Linked DNA regions of Nothobranchius furzeri. The protein of the gene in region 6 interacts with the protein of the main gene of each other region in a pairwise test. Links are inferred from orthologs where the notes say so. Each region holds a gene or a part of one and is shown on either strand. Other genes may lie near its edges. The genes, in order: mcm7, cyb5r2, lypla1, yju2, histone deacetylase 4, golga2 and zbtb16a.

Region 1 (3,995 bases), on a different chromosome or scaffold from region 6:
ATCTTACATCAAAACTTGAGTGGTTTTACCAGATCTTACTGGTTGGTAGGTTTCAGCACCACACTGGTCACACGTGTACGTAGCTACAGCCATCATCGGTTTGACCTCGGTGGCGCGGGTCACGATGCCTCGGACTGTGACCAGATGGCCAATGCTGTCAGCCCGGATATCACGCACCACTTTGGGTTTTGAGGTGCTGGAAGACTTGAAGTAGAGCTCACTGCAGAAACAAGCCACTATAGTGAAAAAAGCCCCAACACACAAGGAAAATTACGAATCTGGTTCTACTCACAATCTCCTCATGAGCTCAGGTGGGTACTGGTTATGTGGATCTCTGGTGTCGGCCGGATCACGACCCCTTTGCTCCATCATCAGCCTGTGCTCAATGTACACGTCCAGGGAATCTTTGGCCACAATCTAAGCACAAAATGTATCTTTTTAGAATTCCTTCAGATAAAAAATCTGAAATGCACTGGAAGCGGATTTAAAAAATGTACTCAAAACTAAGATCTACATACATCTCTTTCCTTGTATTCTGGCAGCAGCTCGTGTATGGCGTCAGCAAACAGGTTTGTGTAGCGTTTTGCATTCTCACAGATACTCTCAACCAGATCTGGGTCTTCCTCAGCCACATCTTCCAGCTCAACAACCAGGGACACCTTCTCCCGGTGGGCCAGCTGCACCTGAACACACAAAACAAATAATTAGTCAAGCTTCAGAAAACAATTACACATGTGCTTTTGTGAGAAAAAAAAACAAAAAAACAACAACAAATGACTACGATATAGAACGACGAGACAAAAAAGAAACAACCTAGTTACAAAACACAAACTAGTTGTCAAAGCAGGAAGATAAACAGAATTACATCACAAAACCTCTTTCCGTAAAAAGCATTCACTATACTCACAAGTTGCACTCCATATTTGAACACCTTCTTCCCATCGTCATCCTCCGTGTAAAACTCCTGCAGAAACCTTTTGCACTTCTCTGAAAACAAAAACACAACAGCTCCACTTTACAAGACTAAATAAAAAGGCCACGTTCACATATGTCCCTTTCCTAAAATAGCAGTATTAAACCCAACAGCAGAGGGCCTGCACACTGGGAGCTAGTTTGTTGTCCTACGACGAGCCCCCCTTTGTTGAGTAACACGGCATCCTGTAATCTCGATGAGTCACTATTGCTACAGTTCAACATAAACTGTCACTGGGGCTCAACATGGAGCGAATGTCGCTCATGTGAGTCTCGTCTCCTAGTTTTAGAGTGAAATAACAAGTACTACGCAGCGTATGGCCCCGGGGTGGGAACGTAAACACAACAGGCGCGCTCAGTTCGGTCCTTTTTTCCCCTTCCTCTGGTAAATATCCCCCCTCACTTCTCGAAGGAGCCACAACTACCAACGATATTTAACTAGGCGCCACGGGCGACGGAACAAGCCTTCGAACTGAACTTAATATTCCACTTACTTTACCGCCGTAGAGGAAATTTGCTGCGTCGTGGGGTTATTTCCATGTTCGAGGATGTTATTGTAAACAAAGCAGCACATGGCTTTTGTGCCCAGTCACTGGAGATATCCCTCCGCGATTCCTCCGCTCCTAGAACCAGTCCCGGTTGTTGTTTTCAAACCGTGGCCAGCCATTTTTTAACATTAGCCCAGGTTAGCTTAGAGTTGTGAACGCAGCAGCTGCGCTGCCTTTTCTAATGTCCTGATGACAGAATCACTAAGCGGCGAGAGGAGGTTTGCTTAATGCTTACCACGAGACGTTTATGACGACTAAGAAATTGCTGCTGGTTAGTGCGTTCGCTGAATTAGACTCGGAACACGACTACGTTCAGGAACTACGCGTGTATACGATTCATTAATACACCACATATTGCTACAGAGCCCTTCCAAACCCATGTGAGTGATCAACATAAACCAAAGCTATAATCGTTTATGCTGAAAACGAATAAGCTGGAAGCAAATATCAGTATTAAAATTCATTTTAGCTAGTAACGAAAAAGCTAACAGCACTGTTCAACCCTGTAAAATCAAAATATAGCCCAGACGGTGCGTTAACGGACACTTGACAAAAAGTACAACATAGTTGGGTGAAGGATTTTCCTTTACTTCCCGACCACATAGATTACCCCTAAACTAAATCATTTTATTTTACACCGACACACGTCGACAGCATAGAGTATAACTTTGCAAAAGTAGTTTTTGAAAGGTCCGACTGTCTGCACTCGTTCCTTGACTACTTATGTACTCTACACGTCTTGATAGTGTGCGCGTTCCCGGATGTGCTTGCACAGTGGCGCCTGTTTCCTTTGTTTAAGGATCCATCCGGGTCACCGGGTAGTAAAGAGCAGACAACGCTAAACTGGTTACCGACGACCCAACGTTAACAAACTCACTGTGAAATACTTAACTAGTACTTCCATTACATCGCTGCTAAATGACGCATATTCGTACACATATTTAAAATGGTAATTTTCTATCTAACTCAAATGGCAATATTTAAAAACGCTAGTGACGTAAACTACTGAAACAGGACATGAACATGTAATTCAACTCTGAAAGACACATACTTCATATAGGTAACATTTATTAAGACTTTCAGTCCAACCTGTTGCTACCACCCATGCTGTTACTGACACACACAGACAACTATTTACCTTTCTCTGCCAGATAATCTTTACGAGCCATGGCAGCACACGTTGATGTTCAGGCGAATAACTTGAAAACGAGATCTTGAGGTGCCCACGTACCTAAACGAGGTTTTTACTTAAGAGTTTAGCAAATTTCTTGCACCGGAGACTTGAATTCATTCACATGCAGCCAGAACTTCTCCCGGTCTCAAGAGTAGAAACTGGCGCCACTCTCCTCGGCCAGCAGCAAATCACGTCGCATCTTTCACGAAGTATGGGCGGGACGTTTTGGTGGCGCGAAAATCGCAGGAAGCTGCGTGTCACATGGTTATGAAAACTTCCGCCGGGGTTTTCCACTAATGGCGCGAAATGTTCTAAAGACAACACAACTCATCACAATGGGTGTTATTTATTGTATGTTACACACAAACAACTCAACACGTTAACAGCAGAGTGCATGCAGACACAGGCTGCTTTGAAACACTCATCAAAAGTGTCTCAAAAACGGAGTAAAATGATGATCAATTTTGGAATGAATTGTCACCACTAACTCGCTTTTCCATTTTATTACAGACTTCGAACCGATAATACTTCACTTTTTATGAACAATTATATAAAAAACACATCAACAAAGCAAAAATGTGTTCAAAATAGGTAGCTTTAGCTTTCATTCGGATAACTGTACTAAACATTTTTAATATCAGTTTTTGCTTTTCATCAGAACATTAACAATTCAATCATTTAATGGCAAACTGCAGCAAGTCAGATAACATGAAGATAAAGATGTAGTCACAGGGATGAACAGGTGGCTGAGATTTCAATTCATGCAAATACTTCAAACACTGATAACATAAAAATGGCATCTGAAAATGGTGGAAGCGTTCCAGTACATCACTCAAAGAGCTCATCCAGGAAACTGGCAGAGGTGTGGCGTGTTGAGGGCTTTAGGGGGAAAATGGAGAGACTGACTGTTTAATCTTACCAGGAATACAATTATTTTATTCACATAGTTTTAAATCAAGTCTTCAGACTGTATTATAACTCCACAAATCCCAATTGAACTCAGATCTTCAAAGTTTTCCTTTATCCAAATCAATCCTAAATTACTAAAGCTAAGATCTATCAGTATTGCTGTTTTACCAGTGTGTATCCAGACTCCAGGTCACTTTCATAATCTTCAATCTCAGGCTCCTCTTCTTCTGAAATGTCATCCTCTATCAGAGAAAGCCTAAGTGGCAAACAGATTAATTAGCTTGTTTAAGAGTTAAAACGTTATTCACAAAAACCATCTTCCCTTTAGTTCTAGACCAGTCTTACATGGTGAGGTGGGAATTCAGATCCTCCTGCTCGTGAGGGGGTGCAGA
Region 2 (4,233 bases), on a different chromosome or scaffold from region 6:
ACTCACTCTGGAGTTTGGACGGTGCTGTCTTGCCATTCGGGAACTCCGGGTTTACATGAAGCTAAAGCCGTGGCTAACAACTTCCTGCTACTCATTGATATTAAAAAGAATAGACCCTGCAAAGGCCGCATTTGAAATGCGATTGCCACAGGCAGCTGAGATCGGTGCGGCACACTTGATAGTTTTGCTTGCTTTTAGCACCCCCTAGTGTCCGTTGTAAATAGCTGTTGTCAAAGCAAAAGTGAAACTTAATCTCCTTCAAGTGGGTTCATCTTTTTAACACCTTAATCTAACTGCTCCTCCGCCTTCGTTCGTGTCTATGGGAGAGGTTCATCTCTAAATGAAGCAAATCAGCCGAGTTTAAGATCTAAAACAAGCAGGAAACAGGCTGGAAGCAGACTGCAGTGCCAGGTATGTCAGCTCAATTGTTTCTAAGAGTAACAGGTGCTGGACGGGCACTCTGAAGTTGCAAATGCAGTCTTCTGGCCACAGTGGGGATTTGAGTGACACTTCCTTAAACCTGAAAAGGGTCATTTTAGCACATATTGGCTGAAGAAAATTATTTAAAATTATGAATAAGTTGTAAAGTATCTCTTTAGTGTCTATGCAGTTAATGACAGACCTCCTGGTGTCTTCCATTTACTGGTTGTGCAGCACATCAGCCTGAAGGTCAAAGGTGACAGATCATTTACTGCTGTGGCCCCCAGACTCTGGACCTCTCTCCCCCTGAGCCTGAGATCAGTGGACTCAGTGGTCTCCTTTAAAAAGCAGCTGAAGACTCACCTGTTCAGGCTTTGGTGTGACCTTCATCACCACCCTCTCCTTATTCTGCTCTTTCTACCAATTCTGCTGCAGCCGGGATCTACTGATTCTCTCTTTCTCGTTCTTTTTCACTTTCCTCACATTTTTACTCACAATTTTTACTTTTCCCAATTATATGATTTAAAATCATTTTTATATATTAATTTTGAATGTTTGTTCTTAGGCGCCTCGTGGTTTTGATCTTGAGAGATACTATAAAAGATTGTTTCTTCTTCTTAACTCAGAAGACAAACAACAACTTCATTTTAGATGCACCTTGACAAGCGTATCTTGTAAAATCTTGTTTACTTAGTGAAGTGCATTGAGACGACTCTTGCCGTGATTGCCGTGTGTGTGTGTGTGTGCGTGCGCGCGTGCGTGCGTGCGTGCGTGCGTGTGTGTGTCTGCTCTGTCTTCTTGATCCCCAGTGAGTCGTGGAGGATGGCTGTTTATACTGAGCCAGGATTCTCTGGAGGTTTCTTCCTGTTAAAAGGGAGTTTTCCTCTCCACCGTCGCTGCATGCTTGCTTAGTATGAGGGTTGCTGTATAGTCACTGGCACTAGTCAGTGACTTGATGCAGTTTGCTGGGTTCCTTATATAGGAAACATTATTTCTGATTGGCTTAATGAACTGACCTGAATTGGAATGTTTATTATGTGAAGTGCCTTGAGACGACTGTTGTCGTGATTTGGCGCTTTATAAATAAACTTGAATTGAATTGAATTGAATTTGATGCTTTAGAAATAAACTGAACTGAATTCAGATCAAACACATTTCCACCAGCTACTATTGTTGTTAGGAAGTGCTGCTATATTGAAACTTAAAGTTGGATTAGAAACAAAAAATATGATTTTGTTTTTAATTCAGCTTTTAACAGAATACTAAATATTTTGTGGTATGTTTGTATTTTTTTGTTTGTTGTACTTTTGTTTATAAGCTAATAAAGAAACAAAATAAAATCCATATTTTTACATTTTATGCAATAAATGAGGGATTTCTTTACCTACTGGCAGTCCAAGGACATGAGACGCAGACGGAAGGCCAAACCGAAATTTTTTGGTGTCATGGCTGATTTCCTGCAGACAGAAATGTACAAACAAGAAGATGACTCCCATCTTTTTTTCTGCTAAAGTCATTATTTATTCTAACATGATTAAATGAAAACCACCTGTTTTAAAGCTCCTCGGCTCAGGCTGCAGCCTTTAGCCCCTCCTGCAGCTGCCACAAGCGCTCAAATACAGGATCCAAAATTATGTTCATATTAATTTAATGTGTTTTCTCATCAAAAACGAGTCACAAGGGCTCTAAAGAAACAAATTTGATCATCTGGCATCACTAAACCTTGTGTGTGACTTTAATTTGATTTCTGGCAGCTGCAAACCTGAGAATGCCGCCAATAGAAGTTGTTAATGTCCTCGCTTTGCATTGAATTTTCAAAAAATGAAGCAAGTCATCTTCTAATTTATGGTAGTTTTACCTCTTCTTTGACTGATGTAAGTGTGGAGCTTCTTTAAGGTGCTTTGTTTGCTTCTCACCTGTTTGCTGATGAGAGGAAGAGGATATTTCACCATAGGATCCTGAAGAGTTACCGGCCCCTTCTTCTTCTTCTTCTTTTCTTCTGGAGAGTCTCTCAAGAGGGCGAACACCGCCGTCACCACCACAACAAACAGGGCCAGTACTACTGGGATTGTCTGCAGGACAAATGTCACATTAAATGAGACCAGCTGTGGTCCAGTTCTGCAGAAAACCAAACATTTTTACAGGATTTGAAGCATTATTGCAGCTAAATAACAAAAACTTAATTCAAAGTCAAAAATTTTATTATAATAAAATGTTATTTAATGTAAAAAAAGACCTGTACTCACCCAGGTTAGTTCCATAGCTGAGCAAAAAATGTAGCGTGACAGAGCAGAAGACCAGAGTCTAGGCAATGAGGAGCCCGCAGGCACACACACACACACACACACACACACACACACACACACACACACACACACACACACACAAGGGGGCAAGGCTCACGCTGGGGAAAAGGTGACAGGTCCAAAGCACCAATAAAAAGCAGGTCTGACGGTGACGCTTGACTCGGAGGTGGTGCTCAGGAGGCCAGACCAGTCTTGAAATGGCACCACTGATAAGAGGGGAGGAGGAGAGGTTCTTTGACCCTCAGCAAGACGTGATCAAACCAGTTTGGAAGAAGCGGACACCAGTACACGTCCTAATGTGACTAGTAAGCTCTCAAGAGTGAATTTTATCAGTGTAGAAAATATGAATAATCATCCAAACTGGTGGATCTTTGGAACCTGCTGGTTTAAAACTTCCACTAAATCTCTGCATTATTAGAAATTAATGCAATATAAATGTTTAAAAGAAACAAAAAAAAGTCTAAAGATGCAAAATTTTAAAAAAAATTGATTTTAAGGTCCTTGACTCGTTTTTGATCAGAGCTCTGAATAAAAAATTTTCTAACAGAAAAGCATCAATGCATAAAAATGTAATAGAAACTTGCAATGGTTCTTCTTTCACCAGCTTGATGCTCTCTCTGCTCAAAGTAAAACATTTTAATTCGTTTTTTTAGAAAAACGAGTACCTGTTGGTCAGAAAAAATCATTACCACTTCAGTTATTTTAAGAATTCTTCAACTTTTTATAACTTAAAAAAAATCCTAAACAATTATACAAGTTTAACAAAGTGAAATGTGCCTTCCCAATCTGTGGATCATCCACTAGAGGGCAGTAGACTAGCTATGCTGTTAGCACTAATTTATAAACTGCAGTAAACTCTAAAATGTATATTTTAATTTGGAAGAATCTACAAGAAGCGTTCAACCTTGTGTGTGTGTATGTGTGAGTCTTAGATGAAGTGTGGTATTTATAGATCTGAAGCTGATAATTAATAGTTTTATATATGACATTTAGATTGAATATTACAAAAGGAAGAAAGAAAATAAAGCTAACATCTGAAGCCGCAAGTAATAATGCAATTAGAGAGTAGTGATAGAAGAAAGTAGCAGAGTGTGGAAAGTGGTCAGTATGTCCTCCAGCAGTCTAAGCCTATAGCAGCATACTTCGAAGATAACCCACCCTTTTAGGTGGAGGCATGTGGCAGGCAGGGCCAGGGAGAACCGTCTTTACCGCCTGTATTCGGCTGCTGTACACTCCAGCTCCCTCTACTCCCCCATTCGTTTAAACCTGGGCTAACATCAGAATTTAACCATAGGCACTATCAAATGAAAATGTTTTAAGCCTAGTCTTAAAAGTAGACAAGGTGTCTGCCTCGTGGACTAAAGCTGGGAGCTGGTTCCACAGGAGAGGAGCCTGATGACTAAAAGATCTGCCTCCCATCCTATTTTTAGATGATCGCGAAACCACCAGTAAGAGATGTCTAAGCTGCAGCTGTTACACACCTGCTTAGACTCTATCAGAACCTGGA
Region 3 (4,151 bases), on a different chromosome or scaffold from region 6:
GGCCCAGATCAATCAGGTACTGGAGTCGTTTCAGGGTCAGGGGCATGTACTGTGGACGCCGGCTAGGAAGAACAAATAAAACAGAAAAATAACATGACTTAACTCCCTATCCTGTTTGTGATGTATTTTCTGTGTAGTGCAAAAATGCTTTAAGGGTGATAGAACAGTTTTATAAGCTGGTGGGTTACACAGAAATATCAAAAATTAGCCCAGAATTAAGCTATTTATGAGTTCTGCTGCCTAATAAACGTACTGCTTTGTGATCTTTAGATTTTTAAATGATAACTTCCTGATCTACTGATGTGTGACAGATGTAAACCACGGTGACGAGTTTGCACCTGTGTCCTTCGTTGAAACCATATTTTGGTATAACCAGATAGAAGGGGGTCTGCCCTCCCTCGAAGCCCAGCCGGGGTCTGTTCCCCCTCTGCCGCTCTCCTTTGTGACCTCGGCCGCTCCTGTTACCGCCGTGCTGTCCTCTACCTCGTCGTCTCCCCTGCAGACCATTTAAACCACATAAGGTTATTTATCACGTTTACTAACCTCCATCTCTATTCAGATGCTAGTCATGTTAGCATCAGTGCTAATGTAGCCCACGAGACCGGATCAAACGTACCCACTTCCAGGATCCTGGCTCAGGTCGTAGGTTTGCTAAAGTGATCCGCGGCAAATTCTGTAAAACATCCAAAGCTTTACTGCCGGTTTTCTTAGTAACAGACATGTTTCTGCAGCTCACATGTTAAAGTTAGCAAACCAAGGGCAAACTAATCACGTGACTCCACCACACCGGAAGCTATTTCACGGTGGAGTGATGTTTCAAAATAAAGGCACGATACTTGGAATGTCTGGAAAAAAGTGAAGTTTGTATGCATTTCAATATATGAAATATAGCAATTTTAAATGACCGTTTACTTCATTTCTGAGCAACACTAGCTAAAAAAAATGTACAAGGTCTCATGAAAAAGTTGCTGCCGTATTGTAATGTTGCCACTAGATGACGACAAATCACAAGAAAGACCAATCAATGAGATTGGAAGAAAAATTATTATTGATTATTTTAAAATATGCTAAAACATTCCACTTTTAAAAACTATTTATAAATACTATTTAACAATATTTTTTCCGTATTTTCTTTGAATTTATTATATTTTATTGCTAATAAAACAAAATAAAATTATTAAATATACAATAAAACAATTATCAGCAATACAGAAAACAACAACAATAACAGCATGTTATAGTTTATGTGCGAACCTCAAACTGACATTTAAGCGGACCAGTGGCTGATCGGCAGTTAATTGGGGTGCTTTTGAGAACCAATCACTTAAATCAAAGGGCGGGGCTACAAATCCTGTCACAGCAGCTGGCATGGTGTGCTGCTAGCAGCTTCTGTCAGTCAGTGCCACGACTAATTTCTGTCTAAACTAAACTCCCAGAAAGGACAGGACAAGAGACGGTGAAGCGTTGACCTCCATCGTCTGACGGAGCTCGTTCTTCAGTTGCTGTGTATCTGGAGGCCTTCACTTTTGTGTTATATTGCTGTTAGCTACGAAGAGCTAACTTGTTAGCTAACTTGTCCAGCTGCCTCAGCGCTGTATGTGCGGCAACAACATGTCAGCTCCTTTACCTACCATTGTGCCTGCTGCCCGAAAAGCCACTGCAGCGGTGAGCTGTCAGCTCATTTAGTGCTTTTTAGATCAAATCCCAAACATTAGCATGGAACTGCTAGAAATCAGAAGCTGTCGAAATGTGATATGTGTGAACCTCTGTCAGTGAAAATAAGTGTTATTGTTATTTATAGGTCATATTTCTGCATGGCCTTGGAGATACGGGGTGAGTAAAGTAATTAAGTCATTTTTTTGCATTCACACTGCTTTGTCTGTTTAATTAGCCGTTTTATACTGGTTGTTTTGGGTGAAACCTGACAGGCATGGCTGGGCAGAGGCTTTTGCAGGCATCAGAATACCACATGTGAAATACATCTGTCCTCATGCGTAAGTATTTAAGGTTCACAACGCAAGTATTTGATGAGAAAAGTCTGATTTCAAAGCCTGAGTCAAGATTTATGCAGCTTGCTGTTACAATGTCCCTTATCCACAGCCCCACGATGCCCGTCTCTTTGAACATGAGGATGTCCATGCCTTCTTGGTGGGTGATGCAGTTTAAACACACATTTCCGATGACTTCAGTCATTTCCAAATCCTGCACATAATGATTCTGCTGCGTATTTTCTGATTTAAAGGTTTGATATTTATGGGTTGAGCCCTGATGCAAATGAAGATGAGGCTGGCATCAAAAGAGCATCAGAGAACCGTAAATAAATGTAGAAATCTTTGTGCTTTTATTTTTAAAGTTTATTTTTTAAATTATTTTTTTATTTCTCTGCAGTTAAAGCTTTGATAGATCAAGAAGTGAAGAATGGAATACCTTCACACAGAATTCTCCTGGGTGGATTCTCTCAGGTACGTGAGACATCTTTACACACAATGTGTTATTTAACAGTTGGCCATTCACACCTACATGATGTCCATCATTTGATTAATTTATTTCAAACGTACAAAACCCACAAAAATATATATAAGATATTAAGAAAAAAATTTCTGGCAGCCAACTTTTTTTTTTTACTATATTTTATGATGTTCACTGCATCAGATCTCTGGAGTAGTTTTCCATGCACTGGGGGTGTTAAGGGACCTTCTGCCTGCATATAATTTAACGTTTGTTGTCTCTTTGGATAAAAATAGTGAGAAGGACTAGTTTGTTTGTCCAGGGTGGAGCGTTGTCTCTTTACACAGCTCTGACAACTCAGCAGAAGCTCGCTGGAGTGGTCGCACTAAGCTGCTGGCTTCCCCTCCGCAAATCCTTCCCTCAGGTAGGACAGAAACCAGCACAAACACTGCTTCACGAGTCATGCAGCAGAAATAAACAAAGGCAATCTAACAGAAAAGTCAAAAGTAGAAGCTGAACTACATTTAAAACATGAATGAAAAGCACCGTTCAATAACTGTCTCTTTAATGGAATCATCCTGCAGGAACGTTCAACATAATCTGTCATAATCGGATCATAAAAACAATCCTAATCTCTTCTATTTTCAGGCGGTTGTCGGCAGTGCAAACAAGGACGTGCATGTCCTGCAGTGCCACGGGGACGCCGACCCCCTGGTCCCTTTTATGTTTGGCACTCAGACATCAGAGAAGTTAAAAACGCTCATCAACCCTTCAAACGTCACCTTCAAGTCATACCGGGGTCTACCTCACAGTGCCTGTCCCGAGGTCAGCCTGCAGACTCTCATCTTACTCTTAGTGCTCTGATTGTCATTCCTTTGAATTGTTAAAATGTCAATTTGTTCCTCTGCAGGAAATGATTGATATCAAGCGTTTCATAGAGAAGCAGCTTCCTGCCATCCATGACGAGTGAACGAAGAGCATCCGCTCACCAGCTCAGAGCTATCGGAGTCCTCTGACTCCTGTGAAACAAGCTGGACTCGATAACAACAGACTTTGTCGACAGTAAACCCGTGCTGCTGCTACTTAGATTCAGACAGAACAGAAACCCATAAGAGGAGTGACTGAGCCGATCCTGCATCTGACCTGGAGCCACACACACACGACTCAGAGTAACTGTAGTTGCTTGATTGTCAAGCCTGTTGCCATTGAAACATGCCATTTTGGCAGGAAAAGTATGTATTATGATCATTAGGGCTATACCTTTTAGGTTTCTCGAAACATTCTCACAATAAATGGCTTGTTAAATGTTTTTAATAGTCTGCAAGCAGGTTTGTTGGTCTGCCATTTAACTTTAAAAGCTTAATGCATGAAAGAATTGGGCAAAACATTTCATTTTTTAAACATTAATTGACAGCTTTTTGTGTAACTAGTAGGAAAATAATTTTATATTTTTACTATTTTATTAAGTAATTGTATAATTTATTAATAACAAATCGGCACTTGACACATTAAGTACTTTACTCCTCCACCAGAGGGCAGTATAGGACATTTATAAGAATTGGATTAGTTAAGGACTAATCCGGTTTAATTTAAAATAAATGTGTTACATAAAGAGATTTTGTGATTGTTTTAAGAAATTTGCTTTTAGCCTGGATTTTTTTTCCCTGTTTTAATAAAAATCAACATTAAATTGGCACAAACTG
Region 4 (4,288 bases), on a different chromosome or scaffold from region 6:
ATGTAAATATGTCTTCTAATACACACCCACCAATAATTACACAATTTCACTAAATAATTCTATTCCATCATGTTCCCTGTTGCATTATTTCTGTGCCAGCCGGGTTTCAGTCACTCGCTTTCGTTGCTGTCGCTGTCTGAATACGCCCCCAGCAGGCTGAGAGATGATGACCCATTTGGGGTGGCGCCGGTTTTAGAAGCGTTGGTGGTGTCGGTTGTTGATGTCTTTGAACCTGTGAATAAATTACATTAATGTGGAATAAAAGATTAATAATTAAGCTATTGAGCTTTTAGAATGATCGTCAACACAAAAATTTTACCTGTTTTTGAGGCAGGGGGAGCTTCCTCTGTACTCGGTTTTCTGATCATCGCTGCTGGTTTCTTTCGTACTACCAGAGAGCTGAGAGCTCCTTTGCCTCCCAGCGTCCCAACACTCCTCTCCCAGCTCTCTACCTTAGCCCTCTTCACGCCCCCGGATGAGGACCCCTGCGGAAACATGCATCAAATATTCCACTATTCGCTGCTTGCAGCTTGGTTTTTGTCATGTTTGTTCATTTTGAGCTGTAGGAAGCTTTATTCCACCCATGTCAGTCTTTTAAAATGATGTAAAACCTTCTACAATCAAACTTAGATTTTTTTTAACTACATAAAGAAATTGAAGATTTTAATACTAAGCTTTTAATATTTATATAATAACTTTTAAAAAACAGCCAAAATAAGCCATAACCCAATATTTTACATATATGAGACTCTGTACAAACCTGTGCTTCCTCGTGTTTATCAGTGGTGAGGATATCTGTCGGCTTGTCTGCACCAGCAGTCTTTGACTGGCTGCTGCTCTCCTCTTCTTCTTCTGAATCAGAGTCGGAGTCTCTCAGTCTTTTCACGAGCACCCGCTCCAACATCTCTCTGCAAAGCAATATTTGAATGTTTAGCAAAGAAGCAAACAGACTTTTCATTTAGACGTGCAAATGATACACGAGCCGTTCTCACTCACTTTGTTTCACGCTCATCTTCTTCTTTTTCTCTTTCCTTCTCCCGTTTTTCCAGTTCTCTGTACTGATCAATCATTCCCTCAAAGTCCACCTGTGCCTGCCTCTGATTGAGCTCCTTCAGCTCCTGGAGGTTTTCCAGAACTTCCATCTCCATCTTGGAATCCTTAGTGCGATTCTCCAGCACCTGAAGGGGATTAGGGAAACATTACTTAACTGTTCAGAACACTAATTTGAAAAACAAGAACAAACATTTAAAACACCAACCTTCATGGGGTTGTTTAGCTCCTCGTCTTCCCTCTCCTGATGGATTCTCTTTTCCTCTTCCTCAATAAGTTTCTCTGCCTGGAAGTTGCGTGTTGCTCCATGCTCCATGGCATAATCCGTGTTCTCTGGGTCAGTCTAGAATCAAAACATAGGCGTATGTGGATATGTTACTAGCAGATTACTAACAGTAAAAGCAGCTTGCAACAGTGCTATTGTGACAATAATAATACCTCACCTTAAATGTTATTTCAGCAAGACATCGAGTACATTTGATGTAGAAACGAAAGATTGGCAGTCCCATGTAGTGCTCGTTCTGGACAGTCTCTTTGCGTGCATTGAACTTCTTCCCCTTGTAGATGTACTCACCGCATGTTTTACACCTGCGTTTAAACATGCATACATCTCATTAAGAAACCTCAGTCTGATATAAAAAAGCATAATCAGGTTTTAACCTAAACACAATGAACCAGGATTTCTGATTTAAATAGACGTATAGGGGAACAAACTAAATAAATGAAGTGTGGCAGTGTGAGCGTCCTGTCACAGTGTCTCGACTGATCATGCGCCCTGGCTACTTCACCAAGGGCTTTGGCTGACTGTTTAGCGTGCGTTACTCTCACTTGGGAGTCTGGGGATCGAATCCCACCCGGGCCCTCGTTTCTCTACCTTGCCACAGAAGGAAAAGTGTTCATTTATAAAATTAAACTTAGACCTTTACGTTTAATCTTAACAACTGAGTTTATTGTATACATTTTGTAGTAAGTAAGTAAGTACGTAAGTAAAGTTTATTTACGTAGCGCCTTTCACAGATATAAATCACAAAGCGCTGTACAACATGAGTAAAATCAGGGCAAATACCTCAAACCAATAAAAACATCATGTGACAACAATAGTAACCAAAATCAGGAGTAAAAACACAGTCAAGATGTGAACAAGAAAGATTTTGTGTGAAGAAACAATCAAACTGTAGGAATCATGCTCTGAAAGTGGTTGTATTGTCCCACCAAATGAAACTAAACGCACTCATTTACACACCTACCTCATATTGAATGGAGCCATCAATCTGACCACATACTGTCGATCTTTTGGGAGTTTAAGTTTAGGGATTTTGGACGGGTCGAAGTCTGGAGGGTAATATTTCTGTGGAAGTAAAAGCAGAAGTTAAATAATTATCAGAGACAAAGCCGTAAACATGTAATGAATCTAAAAAAAACTTTTTAATCCAAAACTCATTATAGGTTACGCTCATTAAAAGTTACAAACGTCAACACGTCTCGTTTATTTATCAACACTGCTAATGTTAGCTTGTTCTCGTTATCTATTAAGACGGAAATTACTCTGTTTCTGATCCACTTTGTAAAAACATCACTCTGTTATGATTACTTACGTTCAGAACTTTTCTTTCAGACATTTTTTACTTTTGTTAGTGATAAAAAGTACAGATATCTTAAAGGTTTAGAAACTAGTACGCAACGTTGACTATTAGTGATAGCACTGTAAACTTCCGGTTTCTCTGTTTAGTCACTTCCGCCTTTGAAAAGGCGATGCTGCCCCCTTGTGGAACGACGACGACCATAGATATCATGTCCATGGAAACATAAACTACAAACACGTGTTTACTCGTTTATATACATATCTAAGAAGAAGAAGAAGAAGAAGAAGAAGAAGAAGAAGAAAGGAGTTTTTATAAATATAGCTCTTAGATGAAAATCACGAGGCGCTTCACAAGAAACAAACAAAATAAAAGATTCAAAACGATGATAATAAAAATCAGGGAAATTGGGGGGAAAAGGAATGAGAAAGATAATTTGGTCGGATTGGCATTGGCATGAAATAAAATAATTTCATTTGGTGATTATTTAAGCAAAACACCTCGGTGAGTGTAGAGAATGTGTTTTATTTGGGATTTACAAAACGTATAACAAGGATTTAAAGATTTTTTTAAATTAAATGTAAAAATGTCGACATTTCAGCATTTAACACATCCCAAATTGTTGGAATACGTCTGGGTACCCAAAAGGCACGTCAGACACATTTCAGAATTAGGTAATAAATAAATCACCCAAAACAAATCGGACAAACTTTATCTCATTAGATCAGCCTGCGTCATTGTTTGATGTACAGAAACCATGCTTCCTTCTGTTATCTGTCTTTGTTTGGAGACAGTGAAGAAGGTCATGACCTTTGGCTTCTCCCTATGCATCAGAAATAGGGGTGTCTGCAATGGTTTGGTGGTCAAACACTGTTCAGGGGTTAAAGTTTATCTGTGCAGAAGGAAATTGGATCTTGAATACAGGTTGGTGTCAGTGTGGACCTGAGATCTGATTTAAGCTTTAAAAAGGTTAAAAGAGTTCATGTTAATTAAACAATCTATGGGGTATTTGAAGAGCTAAACAGAACATCTCTGCTTAGATCCGCCTGCTTCAAGCCCAGATAACTGATTATATCTTTGATGCTTTATGTCTGTGTCACAAGCAGCTTTGTGATCAACATGATTCATCAGTGAGTCGGATAGAGACTGATTTCCCTGAGACAATCATAGAAAATAATAAAGATGTTTATTGCTTTTAAACATTCCATAGCAGGGACATAAAATATTAGACACTGGTTGTTTTGCTGCTTGTGTGTTTGGTCAGCTTGGGCTGTTTTTAAAGCCTTTTATAAAAAAAGCTATCTATCTTTGTTTATGTGCTTAGCAGACGACTTACAATTTTTTTAACCTATAGGGCATGTTGTGATCTGTTTGGAAACCGGAGTATCCGGAGGAAACCCACGCATGCATGGGGAGAACAGGCAACTCCACGCAGAAAGGCCGCAGACGAGTTTCGAACCTGCGACCTTTGTGGTGCGAGGCAATAGTGCTAACAACTGCACCACCATCTATCTATCTATCTATCTATCTATCTATCTATCTATCTATCTATCTATCTATCTATCTATCTATCTATCTATCTATCTATCTATCTATCTATCTATCTATCTATCTATCTATCTATCTATCTATCTATCTATCTATCTATCTATCTATCT
Region 5 (3,937 bases), on a different chromosome or scaffold from region 6:
GGTTCCTTTGCTCTCATAATGTCTCTTTTCTGTCTCGAAGGGCTCCTTGCATCGGTCTGGATGAGCCTGAGGGTTCAGTCTTAAAGTCCCTAATGAGAACCAATCAGAAGATGTTTCTGCTTTTGAAGACATCCTGAACTTTGTTACCACAGCAGACGTCCCAGCCAATCAGAAGCCTCGCTGATAAACAGATAGACTCTGATTTGAACACCTCTTTGTCTCAGAGCACTGACGTCAAGCCAGAGCTGGAGTTTACTGATGTGTGTGAGATAAGGACGACATGAGGGCAGCCGCCATCCGACCCAAACGGGGGGCGGGGGCTCCAGAGACATTACACAACGGGCAGACTTACCTGTATGACAGGTGTGTGTGGGGGGGTGGGGGGTGGGGGGGTCTAAAAAAAGATCCTCTTTGATCTGCAGCCTGATTTAGCTCAGACTCAGAGGGAAGAGAATCCACACGCTTCACTTTCTTTTTCTCCTGCGAGTCTGATCGGAGCGTTTGTGGATCAGAGGGAATCTCTAAAAGGCATCGGGATTCAAAGGAATCTCCTTCAGAGGGAATTCTGACAGCTTTTTCGTTTGCTTTAACTCAGCGACCTTTCCTGTCAGCGGGTTCCTCTGCACACCCCTGCACTCCTTCATACCCCCCCCCCCTACACACGCACGCACGCACACACACACACTCACACACACACACACACACACACACACACACTCACACACACACACACACTCACACACACACGCACGCACACACACACACACACACACACTCCACAAACTAATCACAATCTGTTTACGACCCCTCCGGCGCTCTCCACAACTCTTCTGGCTCCTGCTGTGAATCTATTTATACCAGACAATGTCGAGGGCTGGCGGTTCTGACTGGAGGCCCGGTTCGTGGAGCCCGGGTCCCACGGTCCGACTGCCTAAGCCCCGCCCCTTAGGCCCTAATGGATGTGGCACAGATGAGGGCTCATTCTGAAAAGTCCTGCAGCCAACAGTCACTTCATCTGTTGTCCAGGTAGAATCAGGTTTTAGCTGCAGTGGGCGGGGGGGTGGTCGCCCTTCTAATGACATCACACAACGGCGTTACGCAAAGGATCCGTGCTGGGAGTGCGCACACACACACACACACACACACACACACACACACACACACACACACACACACACACACACACACACAGAGCTAAAGTTCAGGAGGCCTCTGCAGGTGTGATCCTCACCTGCAGGGCGTTTTAAAGACTCCCAGATGGCTTCACCCTCCTCTCCGTGCAGGAGAAGCGGTCCGGGTCACATGCCACCCAGCAGCTTCGTAGCCAAGACAACAGATTCTGAGAATATCAGATGAAGATGCTCTGGTGGATTTCAATATTTTATCAGCTGAGCCGGAGGCAGGAGCAGGAAGTGAAAACAAAAATAACCTAGGAGCAGAAACGGCAGCGTGCTGGAGCGTTGGCTGCTGTCTGGGAGTCAGAATTAGGAATTAGACTCACCCAACCATCCTGGGAGGCAAAAAACCAAAAGCTGGGAGCAGTTTAAGCTTCCTTATTACAGAATTATGGGATGCACTATCCCAACACCAATTTATCCTTCCTTATCTGTGCCCCTCTGGTTTTGCTCCACTCTCCTCATCCTCACTTTTCCTGTACAATTTCTACCGGACAACATGGATCTGCATTCAGGAATACTTGGGAATGGGAACTTATAGCACTGGGAGCTGCAAGAGATTGTTTTGGGAACATTAAACGGACTCAGGAACTGACTGAGAGGCACAATGGGTTTGTTTAGCTGTGTGTGTGTGTGTGTGTGTGTGTGTGTGTGTGTGTGTGTGTCTGTGTGTGTGTGTGTGTGTGTGTGTGTGTGTGCGTGCGTGCGTGCGCGCAAACATTCGGAGTTCCAGATTTTCATTCAGCAAAATGGCAGCACCGGAGCGGCTTAAATAAAACATTGGGGATGTAAACATGGTGTCTCCTGGTCAAGTAGACGGTGTGTCCCCGGCTCGCTCACATCCAAAAAGCAAAGTCACACAGGATGTGGTTGATAGTAACATCACGTACTCACACACACACACACACACACACACACACACACACACACACACACAGATTGACCAACCTGTTGGGATGTGGTTGAGCGCCGACGTCTTGAGGACCTCCAGCGGCGGCTCCTTTCCCAGGATTCCCTCTGTGGGAGAAAGAGAGCATTCTGCTTCAAAGATGGTCCGCAGCATTGAGCCGGGCTTCCAGCCACAAACCTGCTAATCAGGCGGTTAAAACCAGTCGGAGAGAGAAAGAGAGAAGGTGGGAGAGAAAGAGAGGGAGAGAGAGAGAGAGGGGCTTCAGGTCATCTGCACGGTGGAGAGCACATGCCGCTGTGCACCTCCGAGCCCCTGAGCTGCTTCCTGATCCATGAGCAGCAAACGCTGAGGCGCGTCTGCAGGGATGCTCGGACGGAGCTAAAGAATAAGCCGGGATTCAGAGGGAGCGCTCGTCAGCTGGTGTGTGTGAGTGAGAGTGAGTGTGTGTGTTCGCTTGTGAGCGAGTTGGAGAGATGTTGGCGCTCGACTGATAGCGCCTGTGCTCAGCATAGCAAATGTGGCTAGCAGCAGCGGCGGAGAGAGGGATGAGGAGGCGATGGAGAGGAGGGGAGGGGAGGGAGGTAAAAATAGCTCACCCTTTTGTGTATAACTGCACATGCAGAGCACGCACACACCAACACAAAGACGCTGCTCCAGCGAGTGTGTGTGTATGCATGCATGTCCATGTGTGTGTAGGCTGTAATTATAGTGGCAACATGAAAAGGCTTTTGTAGCTGCTGAGCCCTGGGAAGACATGGCTATAAAAAGCTGGGGGGGGGGGGGGGGGGGCACAAAAACAATCAACATGCATCCATCTCCTCCTCCTAAATCTGTTACTAATAACTCTCTCACTCTGCATCCTGTGAGCATTTATAGTTCTACAGCACCTGGTCCGTGTATTCACACACACACCTATTTATCTATTTACATTCTGAGCATAAAGTGTACAGACATCAGCACAAACACGGGTTTGAGATTTAAAAAATAACGAGAAATCCCTTCAGAGGGGAAAAAAAGAGAAAAACAGGCGAGAGTCTCACCATCCGTGGTCTATTTCTGGAATTCTCTGTGGACTAGACTGGTGCACACACACACACGCTCTCACACACACACACGCTCACACACATGCATACACAAACACACACACACACACACGCTCACACACGCGCGCACACACACACACACACACACACACACACACACACACACACACACACACACATGCTCGCACACCTGTATACACGCACCCACATGCATGCACGCACACACACATGCTAACACACACATACGCACACACACACGCACATGCAAACACACACACACGCTCACACGCTCACACACACACACACACACGCTCATACACACACATGCTCACACACATGCACACACGCTCACACACGCACACACATATGCTAACACACACACACATCCGCACACACACACACACACGCTAACACACACAAATACACACACACACACACACACACACACACACTTTTATTATCTAGGAAGCTAGAGGATATTGGTCTCACACCACCCTGCCTGGATGGCTGCAGCGGTCAGGTTTGGTCCTGATGAAACTCGTCTCTGTGCGTGCATCCGTCTCCTCACAGGCAGCAGGAAGCTGATGTATGATGCACTAAAACCTGGTAAAGTCGATACCAAACAGGTATGGTGTTATCTGTATACGCTATGATACAATACTTGAATAAAAGAAAGAAAAAGTACTTTTCATGTGGTACAAATTATTCACCCAAAGTAAAGTGGTAGTTTACTCATGTAAACTGTATCTGCAGCGGTGTCTATTACGAATGAACGCACCCGTTTCAGGAACTAGAAGAGAGCCACGTCA
Region 6 (3,500 bases):
TCAGGACATTGTTTTGGGTCGCTGCTGTAAAAAAAGTGATGCACGAACCGGAAAAGCTTCTGCCGATCACAATTCAACAACGGGTTATGAAAGAACAGATAACGCTCGAAACGCACAGATTCTTCCTGATGTAAGAGGTGAGTCTACTCTTTGTTTTGGTTGTTTTGGTGTTGACATCATCCTAGCGTGCAACGTTCTGTGACTCAAAAAAAAAACGGTGAGAAATGCTGGCAGTGAAAGGCTTTACCGATCAGGAAACGGCTGGCAGCGACTGAGTTAAAAAGCAGCCTGACGCTACTTGATCCAACATGTTTGCCCTCTTGGTGTAATGTATAGTATATCAGATAAGTGTCATCCTCACAACTTGGAACATATTTTTATATTGATCCACAAACAAAGAAAAGAGTTTATCAGACATCTTACCATCTCTTGCTGGCTCTCAAAGTCTTCTGGAATGACAATGGATGAGGACTGTTTAGGGCTCTCCTGCTCCGATTGATTTTCCACTCCATCTCCTAAATTACACAGAAAATTAAATCAAACACTTCACAAAGACCCTTCATAAACACCCCAGGTAACAACTACAAAGCTCCTTTACATGGAGATGTTCAGCATTGCTGCTATTGTAGATCATACTGAATTTTCAGGAATCTTCATCAAGTCAACGGTACATTGTTCTAATGTGAGGACACACACAGAGAAAGAAGAAAACACACCTTGGTCTCTGAACGTCTCAAGGGCCGAGCTGTTAAGCAGCTCCTTAACCTCCGTCTTGAGCTGCTGGTTGTCTCTGACCAACTGTTCCAAATGCTCCTGCAACAGCAAACGCACAACATCACTCAGATACAAACACCTGTGAGTGTGTTGGTATCAGAAAGTGGTCAAGAGGTAAAAACCAGAACAGTAGAAATCAAAAAAGGACATAAATGTCTTATATGCATTTTTACCACTTTGATTTATTCCACGGAATATTCCAGTTGTGTTTTAACATTTTGTTGCAACAAATAGGATTTTATTTGACTAATTTCTCCTTTTATTCTGACAATTGATTCTTATGAAGACATCATGGTAATAAAATGACAAATCTTCCCAATAACAATGAAAATAGGAAATGAAAGTCATCGTCAGATGCCTGACACCCACAGACTTGATGTAAATAAAAGGTCAGTATTTAACTGGACATGGTTGTTTTAATAAGACGATGTTGTTTGTACAGCATGTACCTGTGCTTGTTTGAGCTGATTCTGGCTGATGTCCAGCTGTGCACGGCTGTGACTTTCGTCGTGCTGCAGCCGATCCATGAGCTGGCTCTGCTGCAGATACTGTTGGTGGATCCGTTCTCTCTCTGAGGCCAGAGCCTGGTAGTAAGCGCTGTACTGCTGCAGATGGGCCACCAGCTGATCTCGCTGTTCTAGGAGACCTTGAGTCTCCTGACCCTTCAGCTCCAGCTGGAGGAAAAGAAAGGCAAAAGGATGTCAGCACCACAATGTAGAAGATCCTTTTAAGCCCTACCTCCATCTGCAATTGTGTTAATATAAGCTGCAGAAAAGTGGTGCACATTATAAACTAATGACAGGACAAATGAGTTAGTTTTGTCTCATATTAGTGTAAAAGTGCAGTGAAATGACCTGCTCTTTGATGTTGTGCAGTTCCTCCTGAAGTTCACCCATCCGGCGTGCCAGCTCCTTTTTAACGTGCTGCTCTGACTGGATGGCAGTGGTCAGCTCCATGTTCTCGTTGGTCTACATGATGAAGAAATTTGATTTTAATCTTTTGAATGACACAAACTCACACACGCAAAAGAAGAACATCAAGGAAGACAAACTTACAAAAAAAAATTCTTGGAATCACTGAAAGAGGAAAAAAGAGGAACTACATATCGTAAATCCTCTAATAAAGGCTGGTATTCAATTAAAGGTCGGGTCTCCAATTTTGGCCGGTGTCGGAGTCGGCGGAGGTGAATAATGGCCGGTCTCTTATTGTGGCCGGGTGGAATGTGGTAACAAGCAAGTACAGGGGGCGGTTGTGTCATCGTCTCACTTTTGATTTGCCAGTGATAGACCGCGAGGGTAACTTTAACCGTGCGGAGATGAAGAGGAGGCGAAAATTTGATATCAAGTTCAAAGAGAACGTGCTGATTATGCTGCAGAACACTGGGGAGCAATAGGGGTTGTATGAACTAGTCGACTTCACTATAGGGACTTATGCCTGTCATCGACTAGTCGCTGTCACATGAAAATGACCGTCAAGATGCAGCCCTCGGAAAAGACAGCAGCCTGCTGTCAGCAGGTGACAAGCTCCTGCGCTCGGGGGGGGGGGGGGGGGGGGGGGGCAACGCGCTGTGCCAGAGCGTCGGTACTGACACGCGATTGTTCATGTCAGTTCATTTCCTTTAATGTTTTCTGTCTTTTATTTGCGCCTGATGTGTTTCGCTGTGGAGCGGGGCGCATCACCTTGTCATCCAGTGACGCACCGATCACTGATGCGGCCGCCAAGCAGCGAGCACTCCGCTGTTTTTGCGGTCGGTAGATCTTTCAGAACTGCAGCTCAAAAGGTAACTCATAAGGTGAATATATATATGAACCCAGGTAGCAGTTTTTCTTTAGGACTGAGAGGAGATGCAGGAAGATAATAAACAGACAGGACAGAAAAATAGTCAAATAAAAACAAGTTAGATTTGTACCTGGTGGTTGCAACAAACAGACACCATTGAAGGTAATCAGAAGTGAGGAACAGAAAATGAAATAATTATTTTAATGTTTAGAGCAGCAGGAACTCTGAGAGGCTGCAGGCGCATCAGTGAGTTTGCGGCCGCTGCGCAGGGGGAGGGGGGAGAGGGCGGAAGCAGAAACTACCGTTGTTAAAAGAAATGTGTTTAACTTTGAAAATGTGGGCGCAATTTTAATTGCCAAAAACTCCAGCGAACCATTAGTTCATTTTGCTCAAATAGAAATTGAGGCCTGCCTCTAATTCTGGTCCTCCTTCCAATAAAGGCCTGGAGCTTGATGAGCTTGAGTCAAATACAGGCCCGGGCCTGTATTAGAGGATTTACGGTAATTCAACAAAATAAAAGGTCAGAATTTCAGCCTCACCAGTTTGACAAAGCCGTTCTGCAACTCCGCCAGCTGGTCCTTCAGCGTACGATTCTGGGTGAGAGCCCGGCTTATGGTGGCCTTGTCTGACTGAACATCCTCCAACATGCGGCGGCGGTCTTCTGCCTCCTGGGCTTGGCTCTCCACTTGATGCTCCATCTCCCCCAGACGAGCCTCCTGCTCAGCACACAGACGACTTAGCTGCTCGTTGTCTCGAAGCTGGTGGAAATATACAGAGGGTTCAGATGAACCAAAACCTTCACTAATGACCAAAAACTAAAATATGATGGGACATTGAATTGATTTATGGACCAATATCTTCAGATAAAGCAACCTGATGCCTACCTGAGCCTGGTACTGTGCCGTTAAAGAATCTTTCTCCTGTTGTAAACTAGCGAGAGCTTTCTG
Region 7 (3,500 bases), on a different chromosome or scaffold from region 6:
GAGCCGCGCATCTCCTCTGGTGGTCGGTTCTGACCTGGTTCTGATGGTGATCTGAGCTCCAGAAATCCACATTTAATTTTTTAAACCCCACCACGGGGTCTCCGGAGCCCAGCGCGGACCTTTCTGACCCGGTACCGACCGATGCGGGCTACAGAAGTCCGTCGTTTCCTCAGGCACGGAGATAGAGAGGTTGTTTCTCTGATCTGGAAACCCGGGGACTCGATGTCCAGACGGGCTGGCGTCGGTGCAGCCTTCACACACACTCTAGTTTACCAACATGAGCACAACCAACACCAGTGAACACACACTGACTGGATCACATGACCTCTCTACCCTAAACTAGCCGCTCTCCACGCCGAGCGGAGGCAGCCGAGCGTCCGACTCCCTCTGGTTACGTCAGAGGTTCACGTTTAGAAACACGAGCCTTTTAGTCGCTTTGCTGAGAAAAAACACTTTCTACTAGAAAACTGCTGTTGTGTATTTAAAGTGAAATATCCACGATAACCATTTCAAACAGGATGTTTTTGGACAGCATTTTATATGAATTAGAAAAAATTAACCTGCAGTTTGCTCTTTAAACTCAGCGATGGTGATTTTCTCAACAAGTCTCCAGTTCTCCCTAGCAACCATGTGTGATTGGCTGTTTAACAGCAGCTCAGGGCTGGGAGTGATGTTAGTGAGTTTGTTGGGGACATGCACTGTTTAATGAGAGAGTGGTGAAAAGCAACAGTGACACATTGAAAGTAAGTAAAGGTATATTGTGCATATTTTTACATCACAGACTCTGGATGAGCTGTCGCTGCTCGTGTCGTAGAAAGAAAGGCCCGTTGTTTAGCTGAAGCAGACGGATTCAAGAAAAAGATCACGTGTAACATCTTCTGTGGACAACCAGCAGACCAAGTTGAAAAACCACATTTCTGATAGTTGGAGGAGACCAAACCGTGAGGCCGGATGACGGGCGAGGCCACTGACCTGTGTGCGAGCGGAGGTGGCGTTTGAGTGCGGTGTGGCTGGGGAAGGTCCGGTTGCACTCGCTGCAGATGTAGCTGCGGACGCCGGCGTGCACTTCCATGTGCTGCTGCAGTGCTGTCTGGGTCTGGAAACGTTTGCCACACAGTAGACAAAAGATGGCCATGTCTGACCCTGCACAGGAAAGGAGGACGACAAAGGTTAATTAGAGGTAGATGCTGGGCGACAGTCTGATAGCTTTCTTTTTATCTTCCTGTTTCAACAATCACAACTTCTGAGAGGAAAACGTCGCTCTGGAACGAGCCAAGGTTGCTAAATCTCCCAGCAGCGTGTTGCTACCGAGCCACAGTGATAACTAACTGAATCACACGAGGTTGTGTGTGCGCTCGCAGCGATCAAGCCACAGGATATTCAACAGTGCATGCAGAGGCAGACTTTAAATCTCACTCACTTCCTCTGCAGACTCACACGAAGCATCCTGTATTTATAGGATTAAAGTTGTACACAATTCTCATGTTTCAGGGGGGGGGGGTGCAGAGATAAAGATCTCCTATGCAATACTTCAATCGAGTCTCGACTCCAAGCGAGCACGGTGCATTTTTCTCCAGCAGAGATGAAGAGCACACAAACAGTCACAGACACTCACGCAGGGCTGCACTCCGCCTTCAACACACTCCCCTCACACTTTTTCAATTACCAGGCTGGGGGAGAACTCTGGGGAAGGACCGAGTGTTTGGAGCTCAGTTTCTATTTCATCAGTCAATAACACATCTTTGGGCCAGCGCTGACACTAATTTAAAAATCTATGAAGAGCAGCACCGCCTCATGTTCATAACCACTGGAGGAGGAGGAGGAGGAGGAGGAGGAGGAGGAGGGCTCACACCAGACCAAGCACTGTCTCCACAGCTCTACATGCTGAAGAACGCAAATGATGAGGGTAGATGTCATAGGAGGAGGGGTGGCAGCAGGTAAATACGGGAGTTTTAGTTTGTGAGGAAGACTCAAATCTTGCAGGACTTCATATCTTCTCTAAGTAAAGGAGGCTGCATGAGTGGAACATCTTTAGGTCCTCTGTGTTTGAAAAGCTTCCAACAGATCCAGCGACTCGGTCTCATACAGGCAACACGGTGGTGCAGATATTATTTAACAGCACCTGATCAAACGGTGTTCAGAATATTTCTCACAGCATGATGCAGGACTACTGGTCAGAAGCCAAACCACCGTTTTTCCAACTTGTTCATCTTTAGTCTGAAAGAGTTTTCCAAACTGAGATTTTTAGCTGTGATCATAAACTCCATCCACAATATTCCAAATAAAGAGGATTTTCAGCTGCGGTTGCACTTCTCGGTTAGTGTGAAAACTGTTTGGGACGTTCAGAAGAGCGTGGCCGCCACTACTTTGTGCCTTAAACACAAAAACAGAGCCAGTTTTAGACTTTTGTCTCTATTTTGTTAGACCATAACAGAGATGGGAAATGTGGCGTCAGCAAGTCAACTCCACTTGAAATCACCTGGTTTAGTCGCTGAACTGAAGAAACACACGGCATGGAGAAGACCTGTTGATGCCACAATTCCACATGTCTGGACCTCAGTCGTGTGTGAAATGGTGAATAACTGAAAGGAAATTTTAAATAATATTGGATAAATCAGAATTTTGGGCCAATTCTCAAAGACTGAGTTTAGTTTATTCAACACTATTGATGCGGTCTCTAGCATAAACAGATGCCTCGGGAAAACCGCTCCAGAAGAACGTGAGCCAGTTCAGTGGGGAGCAGAACACGACGGGATTCGGAGTCTTATTTCCTGATTATCTGACATCTCGCCTCTGATTGGCTAACAGCAACTCAACTCTACCACTGTGTTTGCTTTGTGATGTTGATGTTTTATCCTCACAAATAACACGAGCATGAAGGAGTTCTGTCCTGTTGTGGCGTTGCTAATGCTAAAGGCGAGCTTCTATAAGCCGAGACACCCTCTGCTCTTTCCTGGACACTAGGGTGTTTCTCAATGTCAAGGCGCCTGGCTGAGCAAGACATCGCCTTGCTGACGAGGACACAGTCCTTCTTTGGTTGAAAAAACTGGGGCAGGGCCGAGGCATCATCCCTCCTTGTCCCGAGTTAAGATGGGCGAGTCCATGAACTTCTCATCTCAGCATTGCCTCTCTTTTCTATCAGCAGGTAAGGACTATTTTCACATCTAGACTGCATTTTTAACTCCGTGTCTGATCAGACTTAACCTAAGTAAAAGAAAAAAAACGGTTTCTCTTCAATAAAAAAACATTCTAATTATTTTTTAAATATTAAAAATGATTAATGTAGTATTTCTTGCCACCTATTAGAGCAGAAAACATTTCTAGAGGCGTACGCGAGGCCCAAATGTGCTGACTGATTTAATCTTTCAAAAATGTAGAAATTTATTTTCTGATGACCATGTTTCAGTCTCACTGAAGAGATTGATGTAATATTCCAGGTTAAGATTTAATGACCAGATTTTGTAGGCTTGATAAAAAAATAACAATCTCCCTAAAAAGTA

The links.
Region 1: the proteins of golga2 (region 6) and mcm7 interact in binary tests that used the Homo sapiens proteins (3 or more experiments, as listed by UniProt). The two-hybrid records come from large-scale screens. The link is inferred for Nothobranchius furzeri from reciprocal best matches to the Homo sapiens genes GOLGA2 and MCM7.
Region 2: the proteins of golga2 (region 6) and cyb5r2 interact in binary tests that used the Homo sapiens proteins (3 or more experiments, as listed by UniProt). The two-hybrid records come from large-scale screens. The link is inferred for Nothobranchius furzeri from reciprocal best matches to the Homo sapiens genes GOLGA2 and CYB5R2.
Region 3: the proteins of golga2 (region 6) and lypla1 interact in binary tests that used the Homo sapiens proteins (3 or more experiments, as listed by UniProt). The two-hybrid records come from large-scale screens. The link is inferred for Nothobranchius furzeri from reciprocal best matches to the Homo sapiens genes GOLGA2 and LYPLA1.
Region 4: the proteins of golga2 (region 6) and yju2 interact in binary tests that used the Homo sapiens proteins (3 or more experiments, as listed by UniProt). The two-hybrid records come from large-scale screens. The link is inferred for Nothobranchius furzeri from reciprocal best matches to the Homo sapiens genes GOLGA2 and YJU2.
Region 5: the proteins of golga2 (region 6) and histone deacetylase 4 interact in binary tests that used the Homo sapiens proteins (3 or more experiments, as listed by UniProt). The two-hybrid records come from large-scale screens. The link is inferred for Nothobranchius furzeri from reciprocal best matches to the Homo sapiens genes GOLGA2 and HDAC4.
Region 7: the proteins of golga2 (region 6) and zbtb16a interact in binary tests that used the Homo sapiens proteins (3 or more experiments, as listed by UniProt). The two-hybrid records come from large-scale screens. The link is inferred for Nothobranchius furzeri from reciprocal best matches to the Homo sapiens genes GOLGA2 and ZBTB16.

The regions. Positions count from the first base shown.
Region 1 is NC_091741.1:79,972,599-79,976,593, reverse strand, and holds the start of mcm7 (DNA replication licensing factor MCM7), read right to left. Parts: upstream 2,801-3,995; 5' UTR 2,690-2,800; coding exon 2,659-2,689; intron 2,260-2,658; exon of another isoform or gene 1,467-2,259; intron 988-1,466; coding exon 908-987; intron 684-907; coding exon 519-683; intron 418-518; coding exon 293-417; intron 221-292; coding exon 40-220; intron 1-39. Other genes in the region: cohesin subunit SA-1, read right to left, coding at 3,523-3,573, 3,772-3,859, 3,949-3,995. UniProt on the Homo sapiens protein: Acts as a component of the MCM2-7 complex (MCM complex) which is the replicative helicase essential for 'once per cell cycle' DNA replication initiation and elongation in eukaryotic cells.
Region 2 is NC_091744.1:84,976,166-84,980,398, reverse strand, and holds the start of cyb5r2 (NADH-cytochrome b5 reductase 2), read right to left. Parts: upstream 2,801-4,233; 5' UTR 2,682-2,800; coding exon 2,667-2,681; intron 2,493-2,666; coding exon 2,337-2,492; intron 1,878-2,336; coding exon 1,805-1,877; intron 1-1,804. UniProt on the Homo sapiens protein: NADH-cytochrome b5 reductases are involved in desaturation and elongation of fatty acids, cholesterol biosynthesis, drug metabolism, and, in erythrocyte, methemoglobin reduction.
Region 3 is NC_091747.1:46,195,701-46,199,851, forward strand, and holds the start of lypla1 (acyl-protein thioesterase 1), read left to right. Parts: upstream 1-1,351; 5' UTR 1,352-1,596; coding exon 1,597-1,665; intron 1,666-1,801; coding exon 1,802-1,833; intron 1,834-1,928; coding exon 1,929-1,994; intron 1,995-2,100; coding exon 2,101-2,148; intron 2,149-2,242; coding exon 2,243-2,313; intron 2,314-2,388; coding exon 2,389-2,462; intron 2,463-2,770; coding exon 2,771-2,872; intron 2,873-3,096; coding exon 3,097-3,273; intron 3,274-3,358; coding exon 3,359-3,418; 3' UTR 3,419-4,151. Other genes in the region: mrpl15 (large ribosomal subunit protein uL15m), read right to left, coding at 1-62, 339-496, 617-721. UniProt on the Homo sapiens protein: Acts as an acyl-protein thioesterase. Hydrolyzes fatty acids from S-acylated cysteine residues in proteins such as trimeric G alpha proteins or HRAS.
Region 4 is NC_091758.1:25,015,582-25,019,869, forward strand, and holds the start of yju2 (splicing factor YJU2), read right to left. Parts: upstream 2,801-4,288; 5' UTR 2,670-2,800; coding exon 2,646-2,669; intron 2,399-2,645; coding exon 2,298-2,398; intron 1,639-2,297; coding exon 1,494-1,638; intron 1,394-1,493; coding exon 1,259-1,393; intron 1,179-1,258; coding exon 997-1,178; intron 909-996; coding exon 761-908; intron 486-760; coding exon 320-485; intron 233-319; coding exon 111-232; 3' UTR 1-110.
Region 5 is NC_091754.1:47,244,973-47,248,909, forward strand, and holds the start of histone deacetylase 4, read right to left. Parts: upstream 2,801-3,937; 5' UTR 2,239-2,800; coding exon 2,124-2,238; intron 1-2,123. UniProt on the Homo sapiens protein: Responsible for the deacetylation of lysine residues on the N-terminal part of the core histones (H2A, H2B, H3 and H4).
Region 6 is NC_091746.1:54,872,945-54,876,444, forward strand, and holds part of golga2 (golgin subfamily A member 2), read right to left. Parts: coding exon 3,438-3,500; intron 3,312-3,437; coding exon 3,093-3,311; intron 1,743-3,092; coding exon 1,629-1,742; intron 1,449-1,628; coding exon 1,224-1,448; intron 814-1,223; coding exon 717-813; intron 516-716; coding exon 424-515; intron 1-423. UniProt on the Homo sapiens protein: Peripheral membrane component of the cis-Golgi stack that acts as a membrane skeleton that maintains the structure of the Golgi apparatus, and as a vesicle thether that facilitates vesicle fusion to the Golgi membrane.
Region 7 is NC_091750.1:30,346,090-30,349,589, reverse strand, and holds part of zbtb16a (zinc finger and BTB domain-containing protein 16-A), read right to left. Parts: intron 1,144-3,500; coding exon 973-1,143; intron 1-972. UniProt on the Homo sapiens protein: Acts as a transcriptional repressor. Transcriptional repression may be mediated through recruitment of histone deacetylases to target promoters. May play a role in myeloid maturation and in the development and/or maintenance of other differentiated tissues.